Linked DNA regions of Diceros bicornis minor. Each later gene encodes a partner of the first gene's protein in a complex. Links are inferred from orthologs where the notes say so. Each region holds a gene or a part of one and is shown on either strand. Other genes may lie near its edges. The genes, in order: MED1, RARB, RXRA and MED13.

Region 1 (6,979 bases):
AAGAGCTTGACAGAGTGAACAGGTGAAGCTAGTACTGTAGAAAAAGAGCTTGACAGAGTGAACAGGTGAAGCTAATTAAGAATAAATTGCAAATTCTACTAGTAGTATAAATACAATAAAAGTACTATCACATTAGAATCAACAGCTTGACAGGAAGTGAAGAATAAATGTCTCTCTATAACAATCTATCCTGTGTGCCTCTATAGGTGTATTTCTTATCACCTTTGCCTAAAGTAACCCAGTGTACTGTAACTCATGATTAACACCATTTTATAAATATACCTCCCTCTTAGACTCTTAAAGTTGATAGCCAGTGTACTCAGGTGTTTTATGATAAATAAAACTGCAGACACACTACAATAACTACTTTTAAAAAGTCTACACAGGAGCTTAGCTTATTAAATAATTATCTAAGCACAACACTTTATCCACTTCACTACAATCCTCACCATGACTTGACGCACAAGCTTAATGGTTTCACTCCAAGGTCTATTTTGGTTAAATTTTGCATGGAGCCGTTCCAAGAGAGAACTCATCTTACTCAGCTTTTCCGATTCTACGATATAAATCAGAAAACATAATTAGAAACTCTTCTTTCAAGACCTTCCACAGTTTTTCCTGCAAATGAAACTCCCATACTTCCTCCTGTTAAGAACTCAGTTAAAATATTTTTCAGTGTCATTTACTTCAAAACATACAAAGAGGGGCTGACCCCATGGCTTAGCGGTTAGGTGCACGCGCTCCGCCACTGGTGGCCCGGGTTCGGATCCCCGGCGTGCACCGACGCATCACTTCTCTGGCCATGCTGAGGCCACGTCCCACATACGGCAACTAGAGGGATGTGCAACTATGACATACAACTATCTACTGGGGCTTTGGGGAGAAAAGGCAAAAAAAAAAAAAAAAAAATACAAAGAAATTTATTTTTAATGATAAGAAGACACACAAATTATGGGTCTAATCTAACAAACACCATAGAACAAGACTGCTTTCTATTCAAACTTTTAATAAGAACCAAAAAAAGAACCATCTCTAATAATGTTTCAGGATTGAGACTACATTTCATGGCAAAATCATTTCATGATATGCATGAAATCCTTTGTATGATATATGTGGAGCATACATTTGAACATGGCCTTACTATGATTAGTTGGTTTTCAGTGTGAAAATACAGACTTTCTTAATTTTTTGACATAATTTTAAGAGATCAATTTATAAGTACTATCAAGAAAACAGGCTTTATTTCCCATTCAGATTTTTCCTATTTGAATTCAAACTAAAACTATATGGACAGGGAAGACATCACTGACTAAAGACACCAGTGTTTTGGACAACAGATACCAGGATGAGTTTCCAGCAGAGGTAACAGAAAGGTAGAAAAGACTGGCTCCTGGATTAGGTGTGTGAACAAACCTACACTCTCCAACCCTCTTCTAATTCTTGTACTGCTTAGTATGAGCAAGGACCTGTGCTAGAGACCACTGGCAATGCAAAAACACACAATATGCCTGAGATGACATCTGTGAGGGGGTGTGGATAAGTTAACGTGGAAATAACCATCACACAAAGCCAAAGGAGATATGCTCTTAAAAACAGAGACACATTCTATTGAAATTCAAAGGAGGAAAAGTTCATAATTAGTTGCGGAGATGCTACAGAAAAGATGTCATTGAAAGATGAATAGAATGTCAGCAATCAGAGTTGAGGCAGTGACATCTTCTAAATCAAGATTCAAACACCTTCCTCCAATGCCCTCATCTTCTGGAAAACTGGTTTGGGGGCTGTTTCAGCCAGTTTATAGTTCTGGACACAGTTCTGGCAATTTCCACTTTCAAGACTTATTCATTCAAGCACTATTGTACGTGTGGGGGCTACAACAGCGAGCAAACTAGACAAAATTCCTGCCTCATCGAGTTTCCATTTTTACACTTGTCATTCCTCTATACCCAAGGAGTATACCTTTCTTCTTCCTCTCATTCAAAACACACTCCCCTTCTTTTCCTTGAGAAGCCTGAAGATAAATATCTTTACACAAATGTTCAAATCAAACATTCTTTGAGCAACTATTATGTGCCAGGGACCATGCAACGATGAGGAACACAAGGGCCCTGATCTACAAAGCTCAGAGTAAAGTGGAGAAGAAGAATTAACAACAATACAGTGAGCTGTATCAATAGCACTATGTCCAAAATACTAAGGAAGCATTTAAGCCAGAATGCGAAACTTTAGAGAATCTAAGTAAGTTTCCACAGAAAAGTCATTCTTCAGCATTTCTAAGTTAGGCCAGCCATTGAAAGGATGAAATTCAGCGCATTTTTAAAATATACAATAGCACAAGATCGGAACACTGTGGCATTCTAGGGAACTGCTGGCTTTTAATATTTTAAGGACCTAATCATTTCCCTTACGCCAAAACATCCTCCAGTACTTTGACACGCAGCTCTGTTATTTTTTGTCATTATTCAGACGTCTCTTCTGGAACGAGATGTAAGCAAGTTTTAGATTCACTCGCCTGTTCTCCCATCACTTTAGACTAAAAACGCTCTGAGGCCCAATTGATTGCCCCTAGCTATGCAGGAAACCTTCACAGAAGTTGGGAGCCCCCATCACCCCAAAGTCGGAGCTCTCCATCACCAGGGAAGGCACAGTCAGAATATAAAACCCACACATACCCCGCCTCCTGGACTCTGCGCCCCCGGGAAAGTGGCCCCCGCGGAGGCATCGGTCCTCTTACAGCTCCTCTTACAGGTTGGCTCCCCCCAGCTGTGTCCCGCCCCCCTCTTTCCCCCTCAGTCACTCACCCTCGGTTTCCCCCTGAGCCTTCATCCTGACGGTGGGGAGAGCCCGATTCCTACACAAGAGGATAAGCCCTTCCCCACCAATAACGGGGGAACCAAGTTGGTTCGGGATCCCGGGACGCAGGGCACCAGCAGTCCCCACTCTTCCCGGGAAGGCTCAGTCTGAAGTCCCCGGCGGCAAGAAGAGAAGGGTGCTCGCGGCCGCCGCCATCTTCCCCAACGGAACTTCCCAAAAATCGCGAGATTAACCGTGATCCTGCGAGAGAGAGGAAAAGGGCTGGGCACCAAAATATCGCGTAAAATGGTTAATAGGGTGCTTCTCGCGAGATTTTTCCAACAGCGTTTCCTCTTGTTTGTCTCAGAGTCTTGGAGCTAGGCGTAGAGTTTGCCGGCGGGTGCTCTTTAGGTCTTTCGCGAAAACTGTCGTCTTCCTTTTGGCATTTAAGCAATTCGCAGATTAAAATCCCCCACTCTCGTTACTGAAAGACTAGCTTTTCGAAGAATATTGGTATCGGAAATATTTTACTAAAGATAGTATGTTTTCTTGAGATACTAGATGGATTAATTATGCCGTAAAAAAGATATTGGCCGGGCCGCCCGGCGTCGCGGTGAAGTTCGTGCGCTCTGCTTGGGCGGCCCGGTTCGCCGGCTTGGATCCTGGGCGTGGACCTGCGTACCGCTCATCAAGTCATGCTGAGGAGGCGTCCGACATAGACAACTAGAAGGACGTGCAACTATGACACACACAACTGTCTACTGGGGCTTTGGGGAGAAAAGAGGAAAAAAGAAGGAAGATTGGCAACAGATGTTAGCTTAGAGCCAATCTTCCTCAAAAAAAAAAGATATTGGCTCTTTGTAACTTGACGTTCCAAGCCAGCCCAGTACCCTTAATTCCTATTTCCTAATTTTTAATTTCAGACATAATTTCTTGAGCAATTCCAATATTTTTGAAGATCTGGGAGATTTTGGATTAAGGTAAATTGTTAGCAATCAGAGCATCAGATGCTATTAATTATATTTTGAGTCTTAAAGGCGTTCACAACTGATTGTGTCCCTTTTTTGCAATCATAGTCAAAACAAGCAGGTTAGCTCACACTCTACAAGTCACAAAAATGTGTAGTCGTATCTCTTGTATCAGTAAATCCTCACAAAGAGAAATTTGGGGTAATGTTGAGAAGTTCATGGCCGCTGGAACTGAAGAACCAGGCTAAAATATAACAATGCTAGCATTAGGTGAAAGTTCTTAACATAATTAAGGCTACTTTTTTTTTTTTTTTTTTTTTACCATACACATCCTTGAAAATAACTGCTGAAAAGTTGGATTTTATGTAGTTTGCTGCAAGGATACTAAGGAGTGGACTTCTGCTGGATCTCTAGTCTCAGACTTTCCCCACATTTCAAAAATGCTATTCAAACATCCTCCAAAGCGATTCCAGCAGATAACTATAGTTCAGGTGAGCAGGCACAGCAGTGTAAATTTAATAATAACAAAACTTTGGAAATGTCTGGGAACATGTTTTTATTGCCACAAAGATACCTATAACCATGCTCCTTGAAAGTAGAATTCAAATTTTATTTCCTGCTTATTCCTCTTATCCTCATTCCTTTGAGTCACTACATAGTGAGTTTCTTGGGGCAGGAATTGCCCCTCATTTCTGAATTCCCGCTACCTAGCACTATACCTGGGCCTAGTAGGCAAATCTTTTCCTGGGCCTGTAAAGCCTTGCTAGACCCAGCTCTCCTCCCCTTGCCAACCCCCAGCCACACTGGGCTTCTTCATGTGCAGAAAATTCCTGCACTCCTTCCTCTCCCAAGGTCCTGGAACAGGCCTTTTTAACTGCTGGGAGGCTTTCCCCTATTCCAGTCTTTTCATCTCATTAAGGCCCTCTTATTCAGATTTCAATTTAAATCTCTCTTCCTCTAACTAGCAAAGCAAGCCTTCTCTAATCCCTGATTTGATCAGATTCTCTGTTATATTATTATTTCTTTAATAGCACTTTCACCATGAAAATTAATTAAGTGCATGATGATTTCTTCAATGCCTGTCTTCCCTACTAGACTGTCAACTCTGGGAGGGCTGCACTGGTTTGGTTTCTTTCACTACTGTCTAGTGACATTGCCTAGCCCAGCTCCTGACACATATCAGCTACTCAGTGTATAGTGTTGAGATAAATTGATAGGGTTGCCAGATAAAATACAGAATGCTCAGTTAAATTTGAATTTCAGATTTCTATATTTTTTAGCGTAGAAGTATGTTCCGAATATTATATAATGTAAATCTAGCAACCTTAAAATTGATGAAGTACACACAGCATTTATCCACGAGAGAATTTCCAAAGATAGTTCATATTTTAAATGCTATTTCCTTTCCTGTTGTCAAACAAAGTGCTCTTCATTCAGCAAGTATCTATGGGGTCCTAATACTTGTGTATTAGGAGCTGGTAATATAAACATGAAAACAGCCCTAGCTCTTGATGGGCTCACCTGATTTAGACTTCTGAAAATATGAATGGTCGCTATAATCATAGGTACTCAAAAAATTTTTGTTAATTTATTATTATGCCCAAAGTATCAATGTTAGCTACACAGCTACACTTCCTCATGGAAACTCTCTGTACAAGTAAACAATAATGTCTGTTCTAAGTGTAGCTAGAAATTTTAACCCTTATAAAGCTTGAAAATGGAGTACACTTTACCAAATTCCGCTCATAGAATAGAATGAGAAGTTATAATTTCTCATCTGAAAATGCAGATGAAATGACATTGTTAAAAAATTTGTACTCTAGATGTAAAGATAGGAGAGATGTGTCATTAAACAAGAAAAGCATTTAAGGCCCACACAGGAACCATCTTTCTACATGGCAAGAAAGAGACAATGGACAGATTTTAAGGGACTCATCTTTGAGGGAGACTTTGGAGGACTCTTGAAATCTAAAATCTAAACCAATAAATTAGGGGCCAGCCCGCGGTGGCGCAAGCGGTTAAGTGCGCGCACTCTGCTGTGGCAGCTCAGGGTTCGCCGGTTCGGATCCCAGGCGCGCACCAACGCACCGCTTGGCAAGCCATGCTGTGGCGGCATCCCATATAAAGTGGAGGAAGATGGGCATGGATGTTAGCCCAGGGCCAGTCTTCCTCAGCAAAAAAGAGGAGGATTGGCAGATGTTAGCTTAGGGCCGATCTTTCTCACAAAAAATAAATAAATAAACAACAAATTAGTCTGGGGGGGGCAAAGTTATTGTAACTTTAGTTAAATATTTCCTCTTGTGTACAGCCTAAAGAGAAGCTTTCTGACCTGTTTTGGGGGATTTACAGAGAAAGTATAGTCATTACCTGACTGATCACCTTGGGGTTCACAGATTTGCCCGGACTCCCTGCCCCGGGAGGTCATGCAAATAAAGCAAATGGCACAGTCCTGGAATTTCTGAGTTCAAAGTTTTTCTGTAGAGTGAACTAACCTTTATTTTACAAAAGCAGTATTCTCACTAGTTGTTGAACCAATCCAGGCAGTTTACAATCTGAGATTTCCAGGAATAGAATTTTTTCCCCCAGCTTTATGTAATTGATGTTAGAGTAGAATTTTATCCACCAAAAAGAGAAAATGTAGTGCACTAGAACGAGTACTGGTTTAGGATTAAAGAAAGAGCTGTCCCTGCCCCTGGCACTGACTACATTTAGTATAAATGTGCTCCTATTCTTTCTGAGTCTCAGTTTCAACCTTTAGTAGATGCATATAATAATACCCATCCTGGCTACCTCACCAGGTTATTTATTTGTTCAACTGATATTTATTGACAAACTTAAAAGAGTTCTGTGGAAAACTGAAAAGTGCTATAGAATATAAGATATAAAACTTCAATGAAAAGCTTCACTTTTTTAAAAATTTTTATTTATTTATTTTTCCCCCAAAGCCCCCGTAGCTAGTTGTATGTCATAGCTGCACATCCTTCTAGTTGCATGTATGTGGGACGCGGCCAGGCCAGAGAAGCAGTGCGTCGGTGCGCACCCGGGATGCGAACCCCGGCCGCCAGTAGCGGAGCGCACGCACTTAGCCGCTAAGCCACGGGGCTGGCCCCACTCTTTTTTATCTTTAATCAAGATTTATGGACTCAATACAGGTAGGGGCCAGCCAGTGGCTTAGTGGTTAAGTTGGTGTGCTCTGCTTCGGGGCCTGGGGTTGGCGG
Region 2 (7,663 bases), on another chromosome or scaffold:
CATACTCTAAGTGGAATATAACGTTGGATTCATGTCTTTAAATTCATTTCATTACTAGCTATATTGCAGCAAATGAAATGCTGGGAAGCTGGAATGAGAAGTGACTGCACCAGTTTCCTGGTTCATGAGTTTCATAATGTACATTTAAGGTGCCATCTCCTGGCGAGAGCTTTCTATACCTCTAAACCAGAGCATGTATTTTATCTTTGATTGTGTGCTGAAATAGGCTGTAATAATGGCATCTGGCCCATTTATTTCTAAAATAAATATAAAAATTAAAAAGTCCTTTGTTATTATTTAATCAGTTAAAAATATGAGTCTTCTGAATAAGCTCTATGGATTACATCAATGTCAATTTCCTGGATTTGATATTATAATATACTGATGCAAGATGTTGACATTGGGGGAGGGCTGGGTGACAGGTGCAAGAGGCCTGCATGTACATTATTTTGCAATTTCCTGTGTATCTATAATTATTTTAAAATAAGCATTTTAAAAGTTAAAAAAAAAAAAAAGAAAAAGAATGCTGGCAGCTACCAGAGTCTGGAAGAGGCAAGGAATGGATTCTCCCCTAGAGCCTCTGGAGAGAGCATGACCCTGTGGATAACTTGTTTTGGCCCAGTAATGAGGATTTTGGAATTCTGGCCTGCAGAACTGTAAAAGGATATATTTCTGTTGTTTTAAACCACCACGTTTGTGATAATTGTTTACAGCAGCCACGGGAAACTAATACACGATGGTGGGAGGAAGTTTGCTGCATGGATCCTGAACGTGAAGAGAGGACCCTTTGGACACTGTGGAAACAGCACTAGGTGGGGAGTCAGGAGGCTCACCTTGTTGAGGTCTCTTCTGACACAAAGATACTAGTATATTACCAGATTCTGCTTCTGTTGTAACGTCTATGCTCAATGAAAAAAATGAGTCTTGTAAAAGTAAGTTTTTTCTATCTTTCATTGCAATAGGCACATTCAAATGCTAATTAAAGTCCATCATTTTATCCTACCATATCCTGAGTATGTAACCTAATTAGTTCTAAACCTGCCCTCCCCATTTCTCATTAAGTTGACATAATATCTTCTAGAACGTTGCAACTCAAAATGTGATTTATGGGCCAGGAACATGGGCTTCACCTGGGAACGGTTAGAAATGCAGAATCTCAGGCCTCACCCCAGACCTGCTGAATCAGAACCTACATTTTAACAAAACCTCAGGTGATTGTATTGTGCGCACGAAAGTTTGAGAAGCTCTGCTCTGGGATTCAGGAAGTCAGCAACATCTTGAAACGACCTCACACAGCTGAACTTATGCGTAAATCCTCAGCCACAGGTCTTAGCCTACCAAGAAATCTCAGCGTTTTAAAGAACATCTTAATGTATGCACCATATAGCATCTACTTCTGCATTGGCTAGCAGGACATGGTTTTGACATGATATATACCATTAGTAACATTGTAAACGTGGTAGTTTCTTCAAGAAATAAAGACTATGTTTTTTCCCTGGCATTTGCTAAATACAGCTTTTATTTGTGGCTCTGCGACTGCCAGGCTTCATGTTATTTTCTTCAAGCAATGTTATTTTGGTGCCAGCTGAGAAGGGCAAGCTCATCCCGGCTGGGTTTTTCCTTTCCTATTGTCACTTGCTTAGAAGTTAGCAGCCTCGTCTTTTTTGGTACCCAGTTTGAGAGCTCCGTGGGTGTTCTCAGGCTTGTAATTGCACAGAGTTTGTTTGGGAACAGAAATGTTTCCATAGTTCCACTTGCTCTGTTTGTCTGGGTCCCCATTGCCAATGTTTTCAACCTCATTGAGGTATATAAGGCGAACTTGTCCATGTTGGTTCCCCTTGTTTGCAACAGTGCAGCATTGTGACCTGATTTCACAAAAACACACAGTGCGTTTCTCCCCATCTTGCCTTAATTCTTTAGTTTAAAATGTTTAGAGTTTGCCCTATTTTATCAGGATTAAGGCAAAAGTTGGATTCAATCTTTTAGCTATTCCAACCCACATTTCATTGACATGAAAAGGGCATTCTTGAAGCTGATGCACGTGGACACACTCATTTTTTACCTATTTGTTTTAAGAGAAAATAATTCTCTGGTCTATGTTTGTCCCCTAGAAAACAGTGATCACTAAGAGAGAAGAAACCAAAAGAATAGCTAATTACTCAGAGAAAAACGCTTTGCTAATGACTTATTGAATAAGAGAAAATCAAACCTCACATTAAACTGACTTAAATCCTAGCCCTCTCCTCTGGTACAAGGCCTCCTAAGGCTACAGACTATGCCTTCAAAGCCACAAACAGTAAATAATCCAGGAAATCGCAAGCGCTGGAGGATAAATATGAGGAAGGCAAGTCCAATTCTCCTCTCTTGACGAGGAAAAGAGAGGAAAAACTGGAGTGGATGCAAATGCTACCCATTCTTCAAACCAAATATTTGTTTAAAATAACCATATGGGCTGGGCGCAGTCAAGATGGCGGCGTAGGCAGACTCGGAACTCACCTCCTCCCGTGGACACAGCCAATTTACAACTACTGGTGGAACGATTACCCCTGAGACAGAACTGAAAACTGGATGAGAGGAACTCCTGCAACAACGGACAATCCTAACTGAGGTGGAAGAGGGAGAGACTCCCTTCTGGAGAGGAAAAACGCCGCCTTCACAAGCCGCCAGCTTCACGGCCGCCGGGAGCAGCTCACAGGTACGCACCCTCCCTGGAGACGCGGGGCCCTGAGCCGGGGAGCGCCCCCGCTGTGGGCATTTTGTGGACCCAGCACAATCGAGACCAGTGGCATAATATCTGACTTTGCCTGCTGCTAAAGCATTGGGGAGCACCCCCAGAAAACCCGGTTCACAAAGAAACTAAAACTGGCTCTTAAAGGGCCCGCGCACAAACTCACCCGTTCCAGAAAGCATCCTAAAATCACAAGAAAGGTGCACAGTGCTTTGGTGACAAGAGACTCACCTAATAGGCCCTGAGTGCATCTCGGTGAGGGGTGAGACCTCTCCAGGGACTGGGACATTGGCGGCGGCCATTGTTGTGGCCTGGTGTGGGCGTGCTGACACAGACGCCATTGGAGTTCTCCCTGAGGCCTGCTAGCCCAGGGTCTGCTCCACCCGCTAGAGCACCGATTTAATCCAGCTCAGCCAGGGCAGGCAGCCCACCCTAGAGACTGGCCCCACCCAACAACAAGCCCTCAGGCAACGTGTGGGCCTGCATAGATTGGTGACTGGATTCTCTGCAGCCTGGCAACTGAGCCGACTTGAGAGGGGCAGGGTGTGCACAAGGAGCAAGTGGAGAGTGTGGGGCAGTGCCGGAGTGTGTGGGGCTCCCGCCGTGGAGAGACTGGGTCCGCTTGTGGGTCGGGGCGCTCACACAGGGCAGGACTGTGTTGACTGTGTGTGTGGACCTGTGGGCAACAGGGCTTGTCAGCTGCAGAAGACTTGTGCTTCTCAAAGACCCACATAGGAGGTTTGCCCCACCTTCCAAAGCCTGAAACAATTGGGTGCTCCTGTGCCTGAGGCCAGCCCCACACAGCTGCAATCCTCAGAGAGCTGACAAGAGACCTAATAGGCTAGAGGCTTACAGAAATTGTAAGGCCCTGAGCCTAACAACCTGCCGCGCTGGGGGCCTAGTCACTTAAAAGAAATATTGCAACACAAATGTGGTATTAGAACTTACAGCCAACTGTGCCGGGGCTCCCCACACCTGATAAAGAGACTGAAGGGCCCACAACAACTACAAACAGCTGAGCATTACAACAGCTGGCCAGGAGCATAACTCAGCCTCCCTGGGCGCCTATAGGAAGAGCTAACAGGCCACAATAGAAGGACACACATAGCCCACATAGGGGTCACCCCTGGAACATTGAGAACTGAGGGAAGCACACTGGAAACCTCCTAAGGCATCACTTACATAAGGTCACCTATCCATGAGCAGGAGACGTAGCTGACCTACCTAATACGTAGACACAAGCACAGGGAAAGAGGCAAAATGAGGAGGCCAAAGAATACATTCCAAGTAAGGGAACAGGACAAAACCCCAGAAAAGGAACTAAGTGAAACAGAAATGAGCAACCTACCCGACAGAGAGTTCAAACTAAGGGTGTTAAGGATGCTCACTGATCTGGGGAGAAGAATAGATGAACTCAGTGAGAATGTCAACAAAGAAATGGAAGATATAAAAAAGAACCAATCAGAAATGAAGAATACAATACTGGAAATGAAAAATTCATTAGAGGGACTCAAAAGCAGAGTAGAGGATACAGAAGAACGGATCTGTGAGCTGGAAGAAAGACTAGAAGAAATTACCCAAGGTGAACAGGTAAAAGAGAAAAGAATTAAAAAGACTGAGGACAGTCTAAGGGACCTCTGGGACAACATCAAGTGCACTAACATCCGTGTTATAGGTGTCCCGGAAGGAGAAGAGCGAGACAAGGGGTCAGAGAATCTATTTCAAGAAATAATAGATGAAAACTTCCCTAACCTAAGGAAGGAAACAGACATCCAGGTACAGGAAGCACAGAGAGCCCCAAACAAGATAAACCCAAAGAGGCCCACGCCAAGACACATCATAATCAAAATGTCCAGAATTAAAGATAAAGAGAGAATCCTAAAAGCCGCAAGACAATGTCAAGTTACATACAAAGGAAACCCCATAAGGCTATCAGCTGACTTCTCAGCAGAAACCTTACAGGCTAGAAGAGAATGGCACGATATATTTAAAGTGCTAAAAGAAAAAAACTTACAGCCAAGAATACTCTACCCAGCAAGGTTATCATTCAAAATGGAAGGAGAGATCAAAATTTTCCCAGATAAGCAAAAATTAAAGGAGTTTGTCACCAAGAAACCAGTGCTACAAGAAATGTTAAAGGGACTGATTTAAGGGGAAAAGAAAAGACCACAAATAGGAAAAATTATCTATTTCCATGATTAGAACGTAATGGATACAAATGCACAAAAAAGAGGTTAGATATGATATAAAAACATAAAAGGAGGGAGGAGGGGAGTTAAAGAGTACAGCTTTCAGACAGAGGTCAAACTAAGGTGACCATCAATTCTGTATAGAAGAAGCAAGGAACAGAGAAGGACTACTACAACACTGAGGAAAAAAAAAAAAAAGTTAAAAAATGGCAGTAAGTACATTTTTATCAATAGCTACTTTAAACGTCAATGGACTAAATGCTCCAATTAAAAGGCATAGGGTGGCTGACTGGATAAAAAAACAAGACCCATATATATGCTGCATACAAGAGACACACTTCAGACCTAAAGACACTCACAAACTGAAAGTGAAGGGATGGAAAAAGATACTCCACGCAAATGGCAATGAAAAGAAAGCTGGGGTAGCAGTACTCATATCAGACAAAATAGACTTTAAAACAAAAACTATAAAAAGAGACAAAGAAGGGCATTACATAATGATCAAGGGAACAATCCAACAAGAGGATATAACACTTGTAAATATCTACGCACCCAATGTAGGTGCACCTAAATATATAAAGCAATTATTAACAGACATAAAAACAGAAATAGACAGTAACACAATAATAGTAGGGGACTTTAACACTCCACTTACACCAACGGATAGATCATCCAAACAGAAGATCAATAAGGAAACATTGGCCTTAAACGACACACTAGAACAGATGGACCTAGTAGATATATACAGAGCATTCCATCCAAAAACCGAAGAATACACGTTCTTCTCAAATGCACATGGAACATTCTCCAGGATTGATCACATATTAGGCCACAAAACAAGTCTCCATAAATTTAAGAAGATTGAAATAATACCAAGCATCTTTTCTGACCACAACGGTATGAAACTAGAAATCAACTATAGGAAGAAAATCAGAAAAGCCACAAATACATGGAGATTAAACAAAATGCTACTGAACAACGACTGGGTTAACGAAGAAATCAAAGAAGAAATCAAAAAATACCTGGAGACAAATGAAAATGAAAATACGACATGCCAGAATTTATGGGATACAGCAAAAGCAGTTCTAAGAGGGAAGTTTATAGCGATACAGGCCTATCTCAACAAACAAGAAAAATCTCAAATAAACAATCTAACAATGCACCTGAAGGAACTGGAAAAAGAAGAACAAACAAAGCCCAAAATCAGTAGAAGAAGGGAAATAATAAAAATCAGAGCAGAAATTAAGGAAATAGAGACCAAAAAAACAATAGAAAAAATTAATAAAACCAAGAGCTGATTCTTTGAAAAGATCAACAAAATTGACAAACCTTTAGCTAGACTCACCAAGAAAAAAAGAGAGAAGGCACAAATAAGTAAAATCAGAAATGAAAGAGGAGAGGTTACAACAGACACCTCAGAAATACAAAAGATTATAAGAGAATACTATGAAAAGCTATATGCCAACCAATTCGACAATCTGGAAGAAATGGATAAATTCTTAGAATCATACAACCTTCCAAAACTGGATCAAGAAGAAGTAGAGAATTTGAATAGACCAATCACCAGTAAGGAGATCGAAACAGTAATCACAAACCTCCCCAAAAATAAAAGTCCAGGACCAGACGGCTTCCCTGGTGAATTCTACCAAACATTCAAAGAAGACTTAATACCTATCCTTCTCAAACTCTTCCAAAAAATTGAGGAGGGGGGGAAGCTCCCTAACTCATTCTACGAAGCTGACATTACCCTGATACCAAAACCAGACAAGGACAACACAAAAAAAAAGAAAATTACAGGCCAATATCACTGATGAACATCGATGCAAAAATCCTCAATAAAATACTAGCAAATCGCATACAACAATACGTTAAAAAGATTATACACCATGATCAAGTGGGATTTATTCCAGGGATGCAGGGATGGTTTAACATTTGCAAATCAATCAACATAATACACCACATTAATAAAATGAAGAATAAAAATCACATGATCATCTCAATAGATGCAGAGAAAGCATTTGATAAGATACAGCATCCATTTATGATAAAAACTCTGAATAAAATGGGTATAGAAGGAAAGTACCTCAACATAATAAAGACCATATATGAGAAACCCACAGCTAATATCATCCTCAATGGTGAAAAACTGAAAGCCATCCCTCTAAGAACAGGAACCAGACAAGGATGCCCACTCTCACCACTCCTATTTAACATAGTACTGGAAGTCCTAGCCAGAGCAATCAGGCAAGAGAAAGAAATAAAAGGGATCCAAATTGGAAAGGAAGAAATGAAACTGTCACTATTTGCAGATGACATGATTTTATATATAGAAAACCCTAAAGAATCCACCAGAAAACTTTTAGAAGTAATAAACAAATATGGTAAAGTTGCAGGATACAAAATCAACATACAAAAATCAGTTGCATTTCTGTACACTAACAACGAAGTAGCAGAAAGAGAAATTAAGAATACCATCCCATTTACAATTGCAACAAAAAGAATAAAATACCTAGGAATAAACTTAACCAAAGAGGTGAAAGATCTGTACACTGAAAACTGTACAGAAAGATCTGTACACTAAAACTATAAAACATTTCTGAAAGAAATTGACGAAGACACAAAGAAGACACACACGGAAAGATATTCCGTGCTCTTGGGTTGGAAGAATTAACATAGTTAAGATGTCCATACTTCCTAAAGCCATCTATAGATTCAATGCAATCCCTATCAAAGTTCCAACAACATT
Region 3 (6,986 bases), on another chromosome or scaffold:
ACCTCTTCCAGCTCTTCCAAAAACCCTACAAGCACCACTGTCTTTTTACAGAAGGGAAACTGAGGCTCAAAGACACAAAGTTCAACCTGCCCAAGGCCACACAGCTGGCTGGTCAGTGGCAGACAAGACCGGGACCCAGGGCTGCCTGGGCCCGAGGTGCAGGGCGAGGGTGGGGGAGGCCAGAGGAGCGGGGTAACCTCAGGGGCACTGGAGGGAACCTCTGCCCCAACAAGGGGACGGAGACCACTTAGGGGTCTCCACGCAGATGGACGGACATCAGCACATACACACTTACACCCCACACACACCCTGCTGGGGCCCAGAAGCCCCTAGAATCTCCCAACCCCGGGCCATGCCCACAGGGTGGTGGGTGCTGCTTGAGGCGCGGGAGGGTGGTGACCAGAGCAGGACCCCGGGTCCTGGAGCCAAAGTCTCCGAGAACGCTCCGGTTCTCTCCTCCTCTGGCCTGGAAAAGGCCTGGCCAGTCTCAGCAAGAGGCCAACTTCTTCCTCCCCAAAAACTGGGGAAGGGGGAATCCCAACTTTGACAGAAACCAAAAATCGGCATTCCATCTTTGTCCATAAAATAATAAATACCGAGATACGCTATTATCCAGACATCCGCACGTGGAGGAAGGCCGGGCCACAGCAAAGGCCCGCAGCACTAACCCTGGGCGGGGGGCACGCCATGGCCGGTTTTTACTTCCTCTGTTTGGTGTTAATAACAGAGTTGTAGGGTGGTTGGTTTTGGAGTTCTTTCTTTCTTTGGGGGGAGCTGTTTTACAGAATCTCAGCATCATCCCTGATCAGCCACTTGCACAAACTCTCCCACCAAAAGCACCCTCCTAGCCAAACACAGGTTTGATATTCTCCAAACCCATTGCCGCAGACTCCTCCACCCTCCCCCAGTGTGAGCTGGAAGGAGCCCCAGGAGGGCCGGGAGCTCCTCGCCCAGCCCCGCGCCCACCGTCCGGCCCGTGTCCTCGGCTGTAAGGTGAGCTGGCTGACCCAGCATGGCTCGGCCCAGACTAACGCCAGCCCGTCAGAACGGTCCCTGGGCTGACCCCGGGATGAACCGGGGTTACTCTGGGCCGGGGCCTGCCTGGAAGCCTTCGCCAGCCACCTAGGACCAACCTCTTGTGGCATCCCAACCCCAGAGCTCCAGACAGGGCCGAGGCCCACCAGGGGACCCCTCAGCCTCCCTCCAAGAAGCTTGCCCATCTCCCTGACCCTGACCGGGCAGCCAAGTGCCCAGCACCACTGCAATGCTGGAGGCAGGAAGGTCTCCTGGGGTGCCAAGCCAACCACAGCCACAGTAGCACCTCCTGTGCTCCTCCTCACCCGCCCTGGGGGCTCCCACCCCTCCCCACACTGCCCTATGCTCTCTGGGCCTGTCCACTCTCCACCCCCAGCCTTGGGAACTGGATCATTTCCAGGAACCAGCTCTCTCGCCTGTAGTTGCGGACATGCTGTTCCCTGGGCTTGAAACTCCCCCTATCTGTCTCCTGGCTCACTCCAACCCAGGCTCAGTTCAAACAACACCCCCTCCAGGAAGCCCTCCTGATCCTCCTAGCCAGGGCAGAGGCCTCTTCTACTATGTACCCCCAGAGCACTCACCATGCCGCAGGGTGGCCCCAGCCCACTTGTCTGCGCCTGCCAAGGTCTGGGGGCTCCTGAAGGTAGGAACTATAACTGGTTCACTGAGCACCCCTGGGGCCTGGCACACAGCAGGTGCCAAATAAAGACTTACTAAATGGATGGATGGGGTGGGGGTGGGAGAGCTAGCAATGGGTGAACACAGGCTACAGGATTCACCACAGTCCTTAAGAACCAGCTGAGCAAGCACCAAGTTTCAAACAGACCCTAAGGCACTGACAAGCTGTCCAACTCCAAGTAGATTAAGCAACCTCTCTGAGCCTTTATTTCTTCTTCTGCAAAGAGATGTCACATACGAAGGAAGTGGTCAGGAGGCAATGGAAGTGGACGAGTGACCCTGAAGCTGCCCTTTCTCACCCGTCCCCACAGATGGTGAACAGAGGTGGTGAGGCACAGGTGGCCCAGAGCTAGCAGACCTGAGTTCGAGTCCTGGCTGCTGCACGACTCATGCCTGGGTGGGGCCCCGGGCATCTGACTCAACCCCGCTGGGTCTAAGAGTCCTTGTCCCCACAAAGGGATGGTGCCCTCGGCTTCAGCCCCCCTCACACATCACACAGAGCACTCACTAGGGGACACCTGTGTCCCACCGCCCCCATGCTAGGAACAGGCAGATGAGCAAGGCCGGGCCTGCCCAGGGACACCCCGTCCAGAGTCAGACGACAGCCTTTCCCGGAGCCGAGAGAGCCCAGTCAGTCAGTGATGCAGCACGAGGAGGAGGGGCACTCTGTCCTGGTGCAGACATCAATCAAGGAAGGCTTCCTGTAGGAGGCACTACTCACCTCCCTCCAGCTACAGCACAGTAGACTCCTACATCCTCCAAACCAACCCCTCGGCTCTCTGTCCACAAGCTGGGAGATAGAAAAGACCTACACACATGCCCACCCCAGGGCAGCCACCACAGCCGCAGCCCCAGGGAAGGCGGCAGACAGATGCAGGGACCCCTGGCACCAGGAGGCACCGGGTCCAAGGCCAGCCCCACCTCCCCCGGCCAGGGACCACAGTCAGTGGCGTCACATCTCGGGGCCGCAGTGTTCTCATCTGGAAAATGGGCTCACAAACCCGCCAGACAGGGCTGTTCTAGGATGACTGGGTGAGCTGAGCATGTGCCCGGCGCCCAGCAGGCCTGGGCTGCTATGGCGGGGAGGCACCGGCCACGACTCCAGCACATGGCAGGTGCCTGACAACCGAGAGCCCCTTCGGAGGTCACTGCTCTTCCCGTGACTGTCATCCCAGCCCGAGTGACAGTGCTCGCTGCCACCGGCTGGAACCCACATGGTCCTCCCACCCCGGCCACTGAAACTCCCACCTTACCGAGCGCCTCTCCCAACACCCGCCTCCACATGGGCCCCTGGCTGGGCGGCAGCCTCGCTGTGTGGCCCAGACCCAGCCCCTCACCCTCTCTTGGCGCCTGCTTCCTCATCTATAAGAGACTTGCCCCCAGGCCCCTCCCCTGCTGACAGGCGACGGGCAGACGCCAAAGTAGGGGTGAGGCCTGACCACAGTTCCTAGAAGCCAGGCCCCACCCGGCAGGGGACCTGATAGGGGTCTGCAGCAGTGCGAGGGTGATCCTGAGCCCCTCTCCTCCTCCCCTTCACCCAGAGGGCCTGATTCCAGAAGCATCCTCAACCAGCTCCCTGCCCAGGCCAGCAGAGTCCCCTCAGGGATCAGAGAGCCTGGGCTACTCGCCTGAGGTCGCACAGCTCAGAATTGCAGAACCGGACGCCCCCAGCAGGTCACTTGGCCTCTCTGAGCTCTGGTTTCCTCCTCTCAACACTGAGAATGAGAATGCCCACCCCAGGAGGTTAAGGGGAGGGCCCCCCGACCCCTCCAAAGTCAACTGCCTGGAGCACGTGGACAATCGATGAATGTGCAGCCCCCGTGGCCACTGTCTGCCCCCCTGCAGTGCAGGCCCACGAGCCAGGCCTCACGCCAGCCAAAGGGAGAGGGGCGCCACCCAGTGCTGCCCAGGGCTCCCCTCTTCCCACCATCTCCTCGAGAGGGGGCAGCCCAGTACGCCAGGACAGTCCCTCAGAGGGCACAGGGAGCTGGGACCCTTGGCTGCCGCCCTCTGCCACCTGCTCGCTGTGTGCCCACCGGGCTGGCAAGCCATCCTCGGCCTGCCTCTGCTCCCCGACCCTCCTTCCTGCCCCAAGGCCCAGGTTCAAATCCCGCCTTCCACTCCAAAGCCACCTGACCTCTGTAAAAGGGGCAGGTCACAAAGACAACGTGGGCCCAGAGTAATGTCACCCTGCTCTAGTGTGTCACGACTCTGCCAGCACCTCGGGCAGCAAGGGGAGGGGAGGAAATGGGGAGCCCGACACCCCAAGAGGGAGGCGCAGGCTGGGCCTGGCACCCAGGCCCCTGACACCCAGTCCTGTGACAGGCTGGCAGGATGTTGGGAAACCCAGGAGCACTTATTTCAACACCGCCCGCCGCGTCAGCGACTGGTTTCGACACGCAGCAGCGCCCAGGCAAGGGCCACTGCCAACTTGTCCGCCGCCCGGCGGTCACGCGGGGAGAGGCCGGTCGGGGCACAGGGCTCACGGCCCCACGGCCCCCCGGCACCCCCAACCCCCCGACCTGGGCAACGGCCCTCGTCCTCAGGGCACGCAGAGATAAGGGTGGGGCCACCTTGAAGGTGCAAAGGCCACGCCCAGCCTGCTTCCCACTCCCCAGGCCAGGCCGCAGGCCCCGGGAATGGCGGGGACCAGGCCAGAAATGGGCCACCGTGCGCGGCCGTGAACCGGGTTGAGGCTTCCCTGCGGACCTGCGGGGCGAAGCTCGGGGGGAGACGGTGTTCTGGAAAGAGAAAGCGCCCGCGGAGGCCGGGCCTCCTCCCCAGCCCCGGGAGGCCCAGCAAGTGGAGTGGCAGCGGAAGGGGTCCGCCGGGCTCGCCCACAGCCCCGAGCGCCCAGGGCGCCCTGCCCGCCCAGGCCCGGGGGGCCCCTTCGCGGGTCGTCTCCCTGTCCCCACGGCGGCCAGCCAGGCGGAGCAAGCGCGCCCCCACCTCCCAGGCCAGCCGAGCCCGGCCCACTTGCGGCCTGCACGCCTTTGCTGACTTGTAAGCAGAAACAAGAGTGGGCCGGGGACGGCAGGTGCCACTCAAGGGCACCTCGTGCTCCAGGGACATGAGCCCTCACGGCAAGCCCACCCCAGAGAGGAGGAAACCAAGGCCCAGTGAGGGCCAGGGACTCACCCAAGGCCACCCCTGGGGGAGCAGGGCAGCAAGAACCCCACCCCAGCCCCACAGCTGGCTGCCCGCACCGGGCCAGCAGGAGGCAGGAGCTTTCATTGGGGTAGGGGCCCGATGGGGGCGGTGGGCCAACTTTGGAGGTAAATGCCCAGCCCACATGCCCTCTGCCATGTGTCCCTGGGACGACATGCCCAGGGCCCCAGCACCCGCTGACTCCAGAGCCTGCCCAGGGCCCCACACCAGCCGACACCCGCACACTCTCTCTTCAGCTCTGGGGGCTAAGTCTCCCAGCACAGCTGCCCGCTGTTCAGGCCAGACGCGGCCTCACCCCAGGCCCTCAGGAGACATCCCAAAGGAGTGAGCAGAGGGGACTCTGCCCTGGCCGCTGGCTGCCACCTCCCTCAATGACTGCGGCAACCCCTCAGCCGGCCGCCCAGCCGGGCAGCCTCCCCTCTCAGCAGCACCCTCTCCTAGAACGTGCGGCCCAGCGGCATCCACGCTCCCTCTGGCCCTGCCCCTCTGTGGGTTGAGCCTGATGGGCATCCGGCCCCCCAGGTCCTGCCACTGCCGGTTCCCCACCCTGCAGACTCGCCGGGGTCTCCACCACACCATGGGCTCCAAGGGGCCACAATGGTGTCTGGATGCCCCACCCCTGGTGTCCAGCACAATGCCCAGCCGACTCTCGGGGACAGGCTGGGGGTGACAAAGAAGCACGATTAGAGCTGTCATGCCACCGTTGGCTCTCTGAAATCCCGAAAGGCTCTGTATAGCCAGGCCACATCAAAAGATATGGAATTTCAAATGAGGGGTGACCATGAGCCCCTCACCTCACACCAGATACTGCTGTAGATCTGGGGACACACAGAGAACCCACTGGGGGGACAGAGAGTGAACCAGCACAGAAATAAGGAAGGTAATCACAGGTTCCCGGGCGGGGAGGCCCAGTCTGGGCCCAGTGGCCAGGAAAGGGCTTGTGGAGAGCCGGGGAATGAGAGCAGCCAGGCAGGCAGTCTCCTGCAGGGCGAGAGCGGCCCTGCCAGGTCCAGACTCAGGTCTGAGACAACAAAACCCGGTTCCCCCAGGGCCCACTGTGGACCGATGTCACCCAACGCACCCCTCTGGGGCCCTCAAAGATACCTCCGATGGGGACAGATGGTTCTCCTTCCAGTCCCCATATTGGGAGACCAAGGGCCAGATCCCGGCTGCGTCCTGGGGAGTCAGGCAATGGGGCTTCCCCTCCCCCCATGCCCACCCGCCCTGGAGCCCTGCCCCCAGCACCCTACGAGGTCTTGAGACCCAGCAAGACTCCAAAACCTCAGAGGGTCTTGCTTGGCACACTGAGGGGCTGTGAACACCCAGCCCATCCATTCGGCAGACTAGAGTCAGAGATCCGGTGTGAGTTCACGTGTCTGAGCGTCTGTGCACGCGCATGCATACGTGTGTGACTGCATAAACAACGTGTGTAAGGTTTCAGGTTAAAATGGGCCTTGAACCGGGAGGAGGGGGTGTCTCCACTCAGCCCTGGCCCCCACGCCTCCGAACCACGAGGCTGCAGGAGACAGCAGGGCAGCTTTCGGACGGGACGGGAAGGGGGATGTGCCCAGGGTCACTCAGCTGGAGAGCGCCCTAGCCGCCCCAGGCTGGACCTCGAACCCAGGCCCGTGACTCCAAAATCCAGGTAGCCCCGGGTGGGGCCAGGGGTGGGGGGGCTCTCTGGGATGGGGCCCAAAAAGGCCCTCAGAGGTGTGGCAGTCATTGTCCCTCACACTAACACATGCACACACACGTGTGCACCACCCACAGAGCGACACACCTGACTGCTCACTCAAAGCAAGACAGACAGCTCTCCAGAACCTTCTGCTGCCTGTGCCTTCTCACTCCACAGGCTGCATCTCACCGCACTGACATGCAGGGGCTGCCGGGCCCCGGGAGGGAAACCCCAGGCCCTCGGGAGCGCCCGCACCAGCGCCCAGGGAGAGCAGCTGCCATTCTTCCCAGAAGGGGCCACGCCCGTCAAGCCCTGACCAGCCTCTGCTGAGCCCGTGGGGGCACCGGGGAGCCAGAGCTGGGAGCGGGCAGGGCCGAGTACGCAGGCGTGTCCTCCTCCACCGGGAGGGGGCCTCTCAGGGACGGGCTCG
Region 4 (6,858 bases), about 11 Mb from region 1:
AGATGGAAGTAATCTTAGTCATCTGCTCATAATAAAATTACTTCTGTGTAACTTTTTAGATTACGACCCCCGTGTCCTATAAAAGCTAAACAAGTTGGCAGTCATCTCATGTTAATGATAGTCTTTGATAGAACAGCATCTAAAATAAAAGAATCACTTTCCAAGAATAACAAAATTAACATATGCCTTCATATGTTAATAAAATAACAACCACAAATAACTAACAAAAATAACTACATGCCTTGAAAAAACACATGAGAAAATTACAATACATTTCTAGATACTCCTACAATTGTCTGCATACTTGTACAGAAGAGAGCAGTGGCAGAAATGACTCAAAGGTGAATTACACTTGGCTTCAAAAGTATTATACGACTGCGTTAGGAACTTGATGCTCCCCGATTTCATTTTCCTTAGGTTAATGTAACATGCCTTCCTTGGGCCCTAACTGCAAGAAATTCATGAGGAAGGTGGGTGGTGGAAGAATAAAGTTATTCAAGGCTTAAAAAGTCTGCCATAATATGGATAATTTAAGTAAAATAAATAACCACAGCGAAACAAAACATGAAGCTGACTTTTTATCTGGCTTCATACCTACGAGTGTTCCTCCAAAAACATCTTAATTTGTAATACAAATGATTTTTGGGTAACGTATACAACATTGCTATATCATTAATTAGAAATAAGTTGCTTTCACCTGATAAGTCATGGTGAATAAGGTCAGCAAAATTGGGGTCTTCACCCCACCAAAATATCCACAATTCTCTTCTTCCAGGTCTTTGATCTCGCCGCCAAACACCAAGTACATCTGCCTTAAGGCAGCGACTAAAACTGCTCAAAATGGGGTCTTCCTCAGTCACCGCAAACAGAATAGGGGCAGAAGTTGGGCCTTGCCATACATATCTTTTCCATTTAATTCCTGTCAAGTCAGCCTGAAGGAAAGAAAGCATGATTTTTTTATTATTGCACATTCACTCAAAAAAGTCAACACTACTCACTCTTAAAATTCCTTATTTCATTAAGACATTACAATTTTTCAATATGTGCTTAAGATATTGAAAACAGATTGACTAATTTAAAAAATGCTTATTAATTCTGATAATTTAACAACCAAAAATTTTAGGAAAACAAAACAGTTAAAAAATTAACACTGACGTGTCACTGAATAGCAAGTCAATAAATGTGTCCCAAGGAGAAATAAAAAAAACTTAAAAATTTAAATATAAACGTGTACTTGAATACTGCACACACAGAAGACATTTCCTCTCTGTCCTAAATTCTGTTCTAATTGGTCACACTTAATCCTTGGTGTCAAATTTGTAACACAAAACTAATTTTTAAAGATATGATTCCATGTCTATAGAAGTCATGGCTCTAATGAAAAGAAATCTGAACTATAACGGAAAAAATTCTTGTTAACTCTCCACATATCACTTTTAGGAAACGTCAAATAGGTGTTCACAAAGAACTGTCAGATTTGTGCTAGTCTATCTTCAAAGAACCTGATCCCAAAAGTGCCAAAAATAGACTTGAGTCGGAGAACACAGAAATGTAAAACCCGCTGTATGTCTTATTACATCTGAAGAGATGTTGATTAATGGACATCGTACAGAAAACATCTTATAGGGAAAAAGGGAATTAAAGATCTCAACTTAGCATCATGAAAGAAATTAGACAGAGGGAATTCACTAATTCTTTAATCTAACTTAAACAAGGTGCAAAGCATAAGGTGCCAAAAATGAAACTGCTGATACATGACTGGCAGTTTACACTTGCCAACTAGTTGTGCTCCGCCCACTCAATTCACTTACCTATCACACACTCTTGTCAGTATTTCTCATAGCACAGAGAAAATGAAAAAAGAAAGTCACCGAACTTTAAATCATTGATGAAGCTAAGCTACTGTCCAACTGAGGACTAAGTATTTGCAACAGTTGGTACTTCTGAAAGTCTTAACAACTGGATCTTCCCAGACCTGGGCCAACCTACACAACTGTCATCTCCATAGCCAGCTTCCCCAGACTTTTCAATAAAAGGAGGAGCGTCCTGCTCAAAACATTCTAAAAACGCAAGCAAAACAGACAAATATAGCAATATCTAGTGCAAAACCATAGCACCTCCTCCATTAGTCCGCTCCACTCTCACACAAACATAATGTTCTAATAAAAGCAAGATGGCCAGAAATTGTCAAAATGGCAAACTGTTTTCAAAGTTTAAAGAGAAAACATATGAAATGGCATCTACTGGTTTTTACACAGAGGTCTGAAGTCATCCAAGAAAGAAACCAACCCTCTGTTTGATTCATATAAAAAAAAAAAAAGTAAAACGAAAAGAGGTTTTAGTGCATAAGTTCCGGGGTCCTGTTTATTGGGGGAACCCAAATTACCAAAGTGGGGCAGAAAGGCAGTGGGAGAACGGGTAATAATAGAAAGTGTGAAGAAGGGATACAAAGTCAACAAGGAGAAAAGCAACAGTTAAGCACGAAACAGAAGGAAATGTTAGCGTCCTGCCAGATAAGAAGCCCAAGTTGAAGACAAGACTATGGTGAGAAAAAAAAGAGTCAGAAACAAGACAAGAAAAAAAGCCAACACCGCTAAAACAGAGCCCAGGGCAGAGGGCGAGCGAACGCGCCTCCCGGGGCCGGTGCGGAGCTCCCGCGGCGCCGGCTCGGGCCGGGCCTAGCCCGGGGACTCGGGATCTGGATCCGACCCGGCCCCCTCCCCCACGGCCCCAGGGCGCACCTCGCAGCCCCCTCCCCCACGGCCCCGGCACTCACCAGGCAGAAGAGGTTACAGTGACAATCTTCCAGGCTGGCCCCGTTCGGCACGAAGGAGGAACTCATCGTCCCTCACAGCAGCCGCCGCCGGCGCCACAACCCACCATCCGCCATTACCGCCGCCTCCGACCAGAGAGAGAAACACAGACACCGGGGAGGGCGGGGGGGTGGTGGTTGGGGGGGCGGTGGAAGAGGAGGCCGCCGGGCCGCCCGCCCTCCCCACCCACCCCCCCGCCGCCGCAAGCAGCCCCCGCCGCCCGGCACCCAGCCGCCCGGGGCCGAGGGCCGGAGGCGGGAGGGCCACGCCGCGCTCGCCCCGTGGGCCGGACTGCGGCCGCCGCGGAGCCCGCGGACGCTCGTCCCTCTCTGGGGGACAGAGGGGACGTGTGCCCCTTCCACAAGTAAAATAATAAATTACACAATAAATAATTAAAATCAAGTCCGAAAGGGCAGAACCCAAGCTCTGGAGGGTTCTCCTGGGGCGGGAGGCGCCCGCAGAGGGGCGGGAAGGGCGAGAAGCCGGAGAGAAGCCCAGGCCCCCGGCGCGGCAGCGGCGATGTCCTTAAGCCCAGAGTCTCCTCAGTGGCGGAGGTGGTGGCGGCGTCTGCGGGCTCAGACCATTCTCGGGCTGTCTTCGTGTTGTCCCTGGGCCAAGCTGGCCTAACGTCTGCGCTCCTGCGGCCTCACCGCCCGGACGCCGTAGTCTCCCCCATTTTGTGGGCCCAGCGGGCGGTGTTTTTACCCCTTTAATCCGAATTCACGGGTTTTCCCTTCGCTTTAATGGCGGCCACAGGGACCAGCTCGCCCTCTCTGCTCGCCCATTGGCCGCCTTGAGGTCACGTGGGCCCGGGCTCCGTGGGGAGGGGAAGAGAGAAGGGAGTGAGGGAGGGCCGGGAAGCTTTCGGCAGAGGCGGTGAGCCTCGGGGACGGGGCAGCCCGCTGGTGGCTGCTAAGATAGCGCCATCTGCTGGGTGCTCCGGCCAGTGTAAGACGATCGGGGCCTTGGCCCTAACTTTCTCCTTGCCGGGGAATTTACAGTACAAGAGGGTTCACATCACAAATCGGAGAATTACGTGGAAATCAGCTTGAATTCTTTGGAAGAGAAAATGTTGCAAAAATTCCACGGCATTCTCATTTATTCCACGAGGCCGCTGAGGTACAGCGCAAACCCCTGGGCCTGGGACGATCTGAGATAGGACTCAGCCACTTAAAAGTTGTGATATTAAGAAAGAAACATAAAGGAAACAATATAACCTTGTGGTCAATAGCCTGGGAGTTAGAGCCACACTACCTGAGTTCAAAACTTGAGCTAGTCACTTACCTCTTTGAGTCTCAGTTTCCTCATCTATAAAATGGGGAAAACATACCCCCTCCTCATAGTGTTGTTGTGATAATTGAGTTAATACAAATAAAGCACATAGCCCAGTGCCTGCCACAGATAAGCATTGTTAAGAGTTATCTATTACTGTGTCATCATTTACCTCACGTGGTTATCGTGAAGAGTAAGTGAACCAGTGCATGTAAAGTGCTCACTGGAGTGTAATCTCCGTTGGAACCGGGACTTTGCTTCGTTTACCTCTGTATCTCTAGTGCCTAAAAAAGGTTCCTAGCACACAGTAGGCGCTTGATATTTGTAAATTTGCAAATGAATGAGTGGTAAGAAGTAGGAACCAAATACATAAAATGTTAGTTCCCTGCTCCATAAAACACTCAGTTCTTGACTGGATTACACTTCAATGCAGGAGTTCAAACATTTTCCCTGGGAGTTTTAGAAAGGAGAGAAGGAAAAAGACAGAGAGAAGGGAAGGGAGGGAGGGAGGGAGGAAGGGAAAAGGAAGGAAGGGAGGACGGAAGGAAAGAAGGAAGGAAGGAAAGAAGGAAGGAAGAAAAGAAAAACTAAAAGTGATTCAAAAGTTAGAAATAATGAGTTAGGACTTACCATAATTTTAAATCATAATTGCCTCTGTAAAATAAATGGTGGACTCTTCCATGTCACTTCTTCAGCCGTGGAATGAAAAGCATTCCTCATCCATCCGAGATCTTGAAGCCAAAAGCCTGTAAAAAAAGTTCTGCCACTTACTGGTTGATCTTGGATCCAATTTGATTTTAGATCAAATTAATTTCTCTTACTCTCAGTTTTCTCATTGTAAAACGGGGGTAATAAAAGTACTTTTCTCATATAGTGCCTGGAAAATGAAACAGTGTAGGTATAGGGCTTGCCATAGTGCTTACTAAATGTTAGCTATTAATAAACTTTTAAAAATCGTTATTGAGCACCTGCGTGCTCAACTAAGTGTGTTCCTGGTCTGTGCTAGGCCTGGGATACAAATACGGATAAGACACCGGCCTGTCCTTCAAGGTTCCTGAAGAGAGGCAATAAAGGAACTATTTCCCACAGAATAAGATAAAATACAATGGAAGTAATTGCTTGAATAAGGTATGTATCAACTATGGCACAATGGAAGTGCAGGACAAGGAGCACCAAAGTCAGAGAATGTGTCTTAAAGTAGGTAGCACTTGAAATCAGATTTGAAGGATAAAATGAATTCTTATAAAGCCCTTTGAAGCAGTTAAATCTTATTAAACCTAATTCAGATCCAAAGGCCACATATCAAAGTCAATTATACAACCAGGACTAATTCAATTCAGGAGCTCAAATCAACTAAGGTCCACATCCTTTCTAACTGAGTGCCAGCACCAGGAGACAGCAATCCCCAGACCCAATAAGGTAAGAGCCCCTCTGCTCATCTCTCTTTCCCTGAAAGAATCCTCAGACCTTTGTGCCCACTACTTTTGTCACTCTGATATGTACTCTATCTACCACCTCTTATTTTATCCAAAATGTAGCCATCCTCTTTAGAAGTCTTGCCGTCCATTACCCTGCCCCCAACTTGAGCACCTGTCTCAGGACTCCAGAGACAGATAGAATCTGCCAGAAAACCACGAAGAGCAGAGTAACATTTGATTGACCTTTCATTTGAATGTCAATCTTCTCAAAAAGAAGGGAGAGATAGGAGACAAGAAGGGAGGAAGACCCAGAGGAAAAAGTCTGAGAAAGGATCACGGAAAGGAGCAGGACAGAGGGAGACAGAGGGAGAGGGAGGGGGGGAGAGAGAGAGAGAGAGACGAAAAAGCAGAAGAGAGATTGAGAGAGAGAATGGAGAAGTGCAAGTGGAGAAGAGGGACACCAACTGTGAGGGGAATGGAAACATCATGGGGAGAAAAACAAAGAGCAATATCAGCACACACAGAACATGTCAGTAACCAACTACATTCTCTTAAAATGACATTTTGTGTGATTTAAAGAGTAATGGAAATAAATAAAAAACTGTATATGCACATTGTCAAAAGTTTGGAAGATATGGAAAAGTATAAAGATGAAAAATAAAATACATAATCAAAAAATGCCCATAACATTACCACTCATAATTAACCATGTTTTAACATTTTAATGTATTTTCTTCCAGACTTTTCCATATATATATATATTTTTCTACATGGTTGAAGTCATACTACATATACATTTTACTACACATGCTTACTGACCATCTAGTATGTGTCACGTCATATATGCACAAAGCACAGGATATATGAGGAGCTCCTTGTCTTGCTAGATATGGCACTTGGACAGTTGGACCAGCTGGGGTCAAAACTCCACACCACGCCTGCTAGCTCCCTAACTTCCATTTACTCATTTGTAAAATGTGTATGTAATAATAGCACCTAAATGTTAGAGTTGTTGTGACAATTAAGAGATGATCCAAGTAAATAAGAGAGCCAATCAGGAATGTTAAAGTGAATCTTAGATGTTGCCTTGGGTCAATAATCACCTATTGTCTTCAACATTTTGAAATGTGGATTCGCTCAATGATCTACATTTAAAACTGTTTCTTTAACTCCTTCAGCCTTTTAAGGGCGCCATTCTGAAAGGGATAGTGGAGGCACCTGGCATCCAGAAAGGGTGACAGAGTTACATCACTTGAGACAGAGCAAGTCCAGGAAAGGGCGATGTCTAACCTTAGAACTAAGGCTCCCCACCTGATTCTGAAAAATCCCAGGATCTAGAACAGCACTGTCTAGTA

Evidence for each region.
Region 2: the proteins of MED1 (region 1) and RARB are in contact, whole or in part, in a crystal structure (PDB 1XDK), measured with the Mus musculus proteins. The link is inferred for Diceros bicornis minor from reciprocal best matches to the Homo sapiens genes MED1 and RARB. Residues at the interface, in NP_001073587.1 of Mus musculus: His642, Pro643, Met644, Leu645, Met646, Leu648, Leu649, Lys650, Asp651; in NP_001276689.1 of Mus musculus: Ile264, Val267, Lys271, Phe276, Ile281, Gln284, Ile285, Leu288, Lys289, Pro435, Leu436, Glu439, Met440.
Region 3: the proteins of MED1 (region 1) and RXRA are in contact, whole or in part, in a crystal structure (PDB 1XDK), measured with the Mus musculus proteins. The link is inferred for Diceros bicornis minor from reciprocal best matches to the Homo sapiens genes MED1 and RXRA. Residues at the interface, in NP_001073587.1 of Mus musculus: Asn641, His642, Pro643, Met644, Leu645, Met646, Leu648, Leu649, Lys650, Asp651; in NP_035435.1 of Mus musculus: Phe282, Val285, Lys289, Phe294, Leu299, Gln302, Val303, Leu306, Arg307, Thr454, Phe455, Glu458, Met459, Glu461, Ala462, Pro463.
Region 4: MED1 (region 1) and MED13 share a complex: the UniProt entries of both Homo sapiens proteins name them as parts of the mediator complex. The link is inferred for Diceros bicornis minor from reciprocal best matches to the Homo sapiens genes MED1 and MED13.

What each region holds. Positions count from the first base shown.
Region 1 is NC_080757.1:39,169,482-39,176,460, forward strand, and holds the start of MED1 (mediator of RNA polymerase II transcription subunit 1), read right to left. Parts: upstream 3,012-6,979; 5' UTR 2,827-3,011; coding exon 2,802-2,826; intron 557-2,801; coding exon 450-556; intron 1-449. UniProt on the Homo sapiens protein: Component of the Mediator complex, a coactivator involved in the regulated transcription of nearly all RNA polymerase II-dependent genes.
Region 2 is NC_080741.1:29,821,011-29,828,673, reverse strand, and holds the start of RARB (retinoic acid receptor beta), read right to left. Parts: upstream 3,020-7,663; 5' UTR 2,960-3,019; intron 1-2,959. UniProt on the Homo sapiens protein: Receptor for retinoic acid. Retinoic acid receptors bind as heterodimers to their target response elements in response to their ligands, all-trans or 9-cis retinoic acid, and regulate gene expression in various biological processes.
Region 3 is NC_080767.1:41,224,931-41,231,916, reverse strand, and holds the start of RXRA (retinoic acid receptor RXR-alpha), read right to left. Parts: upstream 3,021-6,986; 5' UTR 2,998-3,020; coding exon 2,967-2,997; intron 1-2,966. UniProt on the Homo sapiens protein: Receptor for retinoic acid that acts as a transcription factor.
Region 4 is NC_080757.1:27,789,057-27,795,914, forward strand, and holds the start of MED13 (mediator of RNA polymerase II transcription subunit 13), read right to left. Parts: upstream 3,002-6,858; 5' UTR 2,843-3,001; coding exon 2,777-2,842; intron 933-2,776; coding exon 698-932; intron 1-697. UniProt on the Homo sapiens protein: Component of the Mediator complex, a coactivator involved in the regulated transcription of nearly all RNA polymerase II-dependent genes.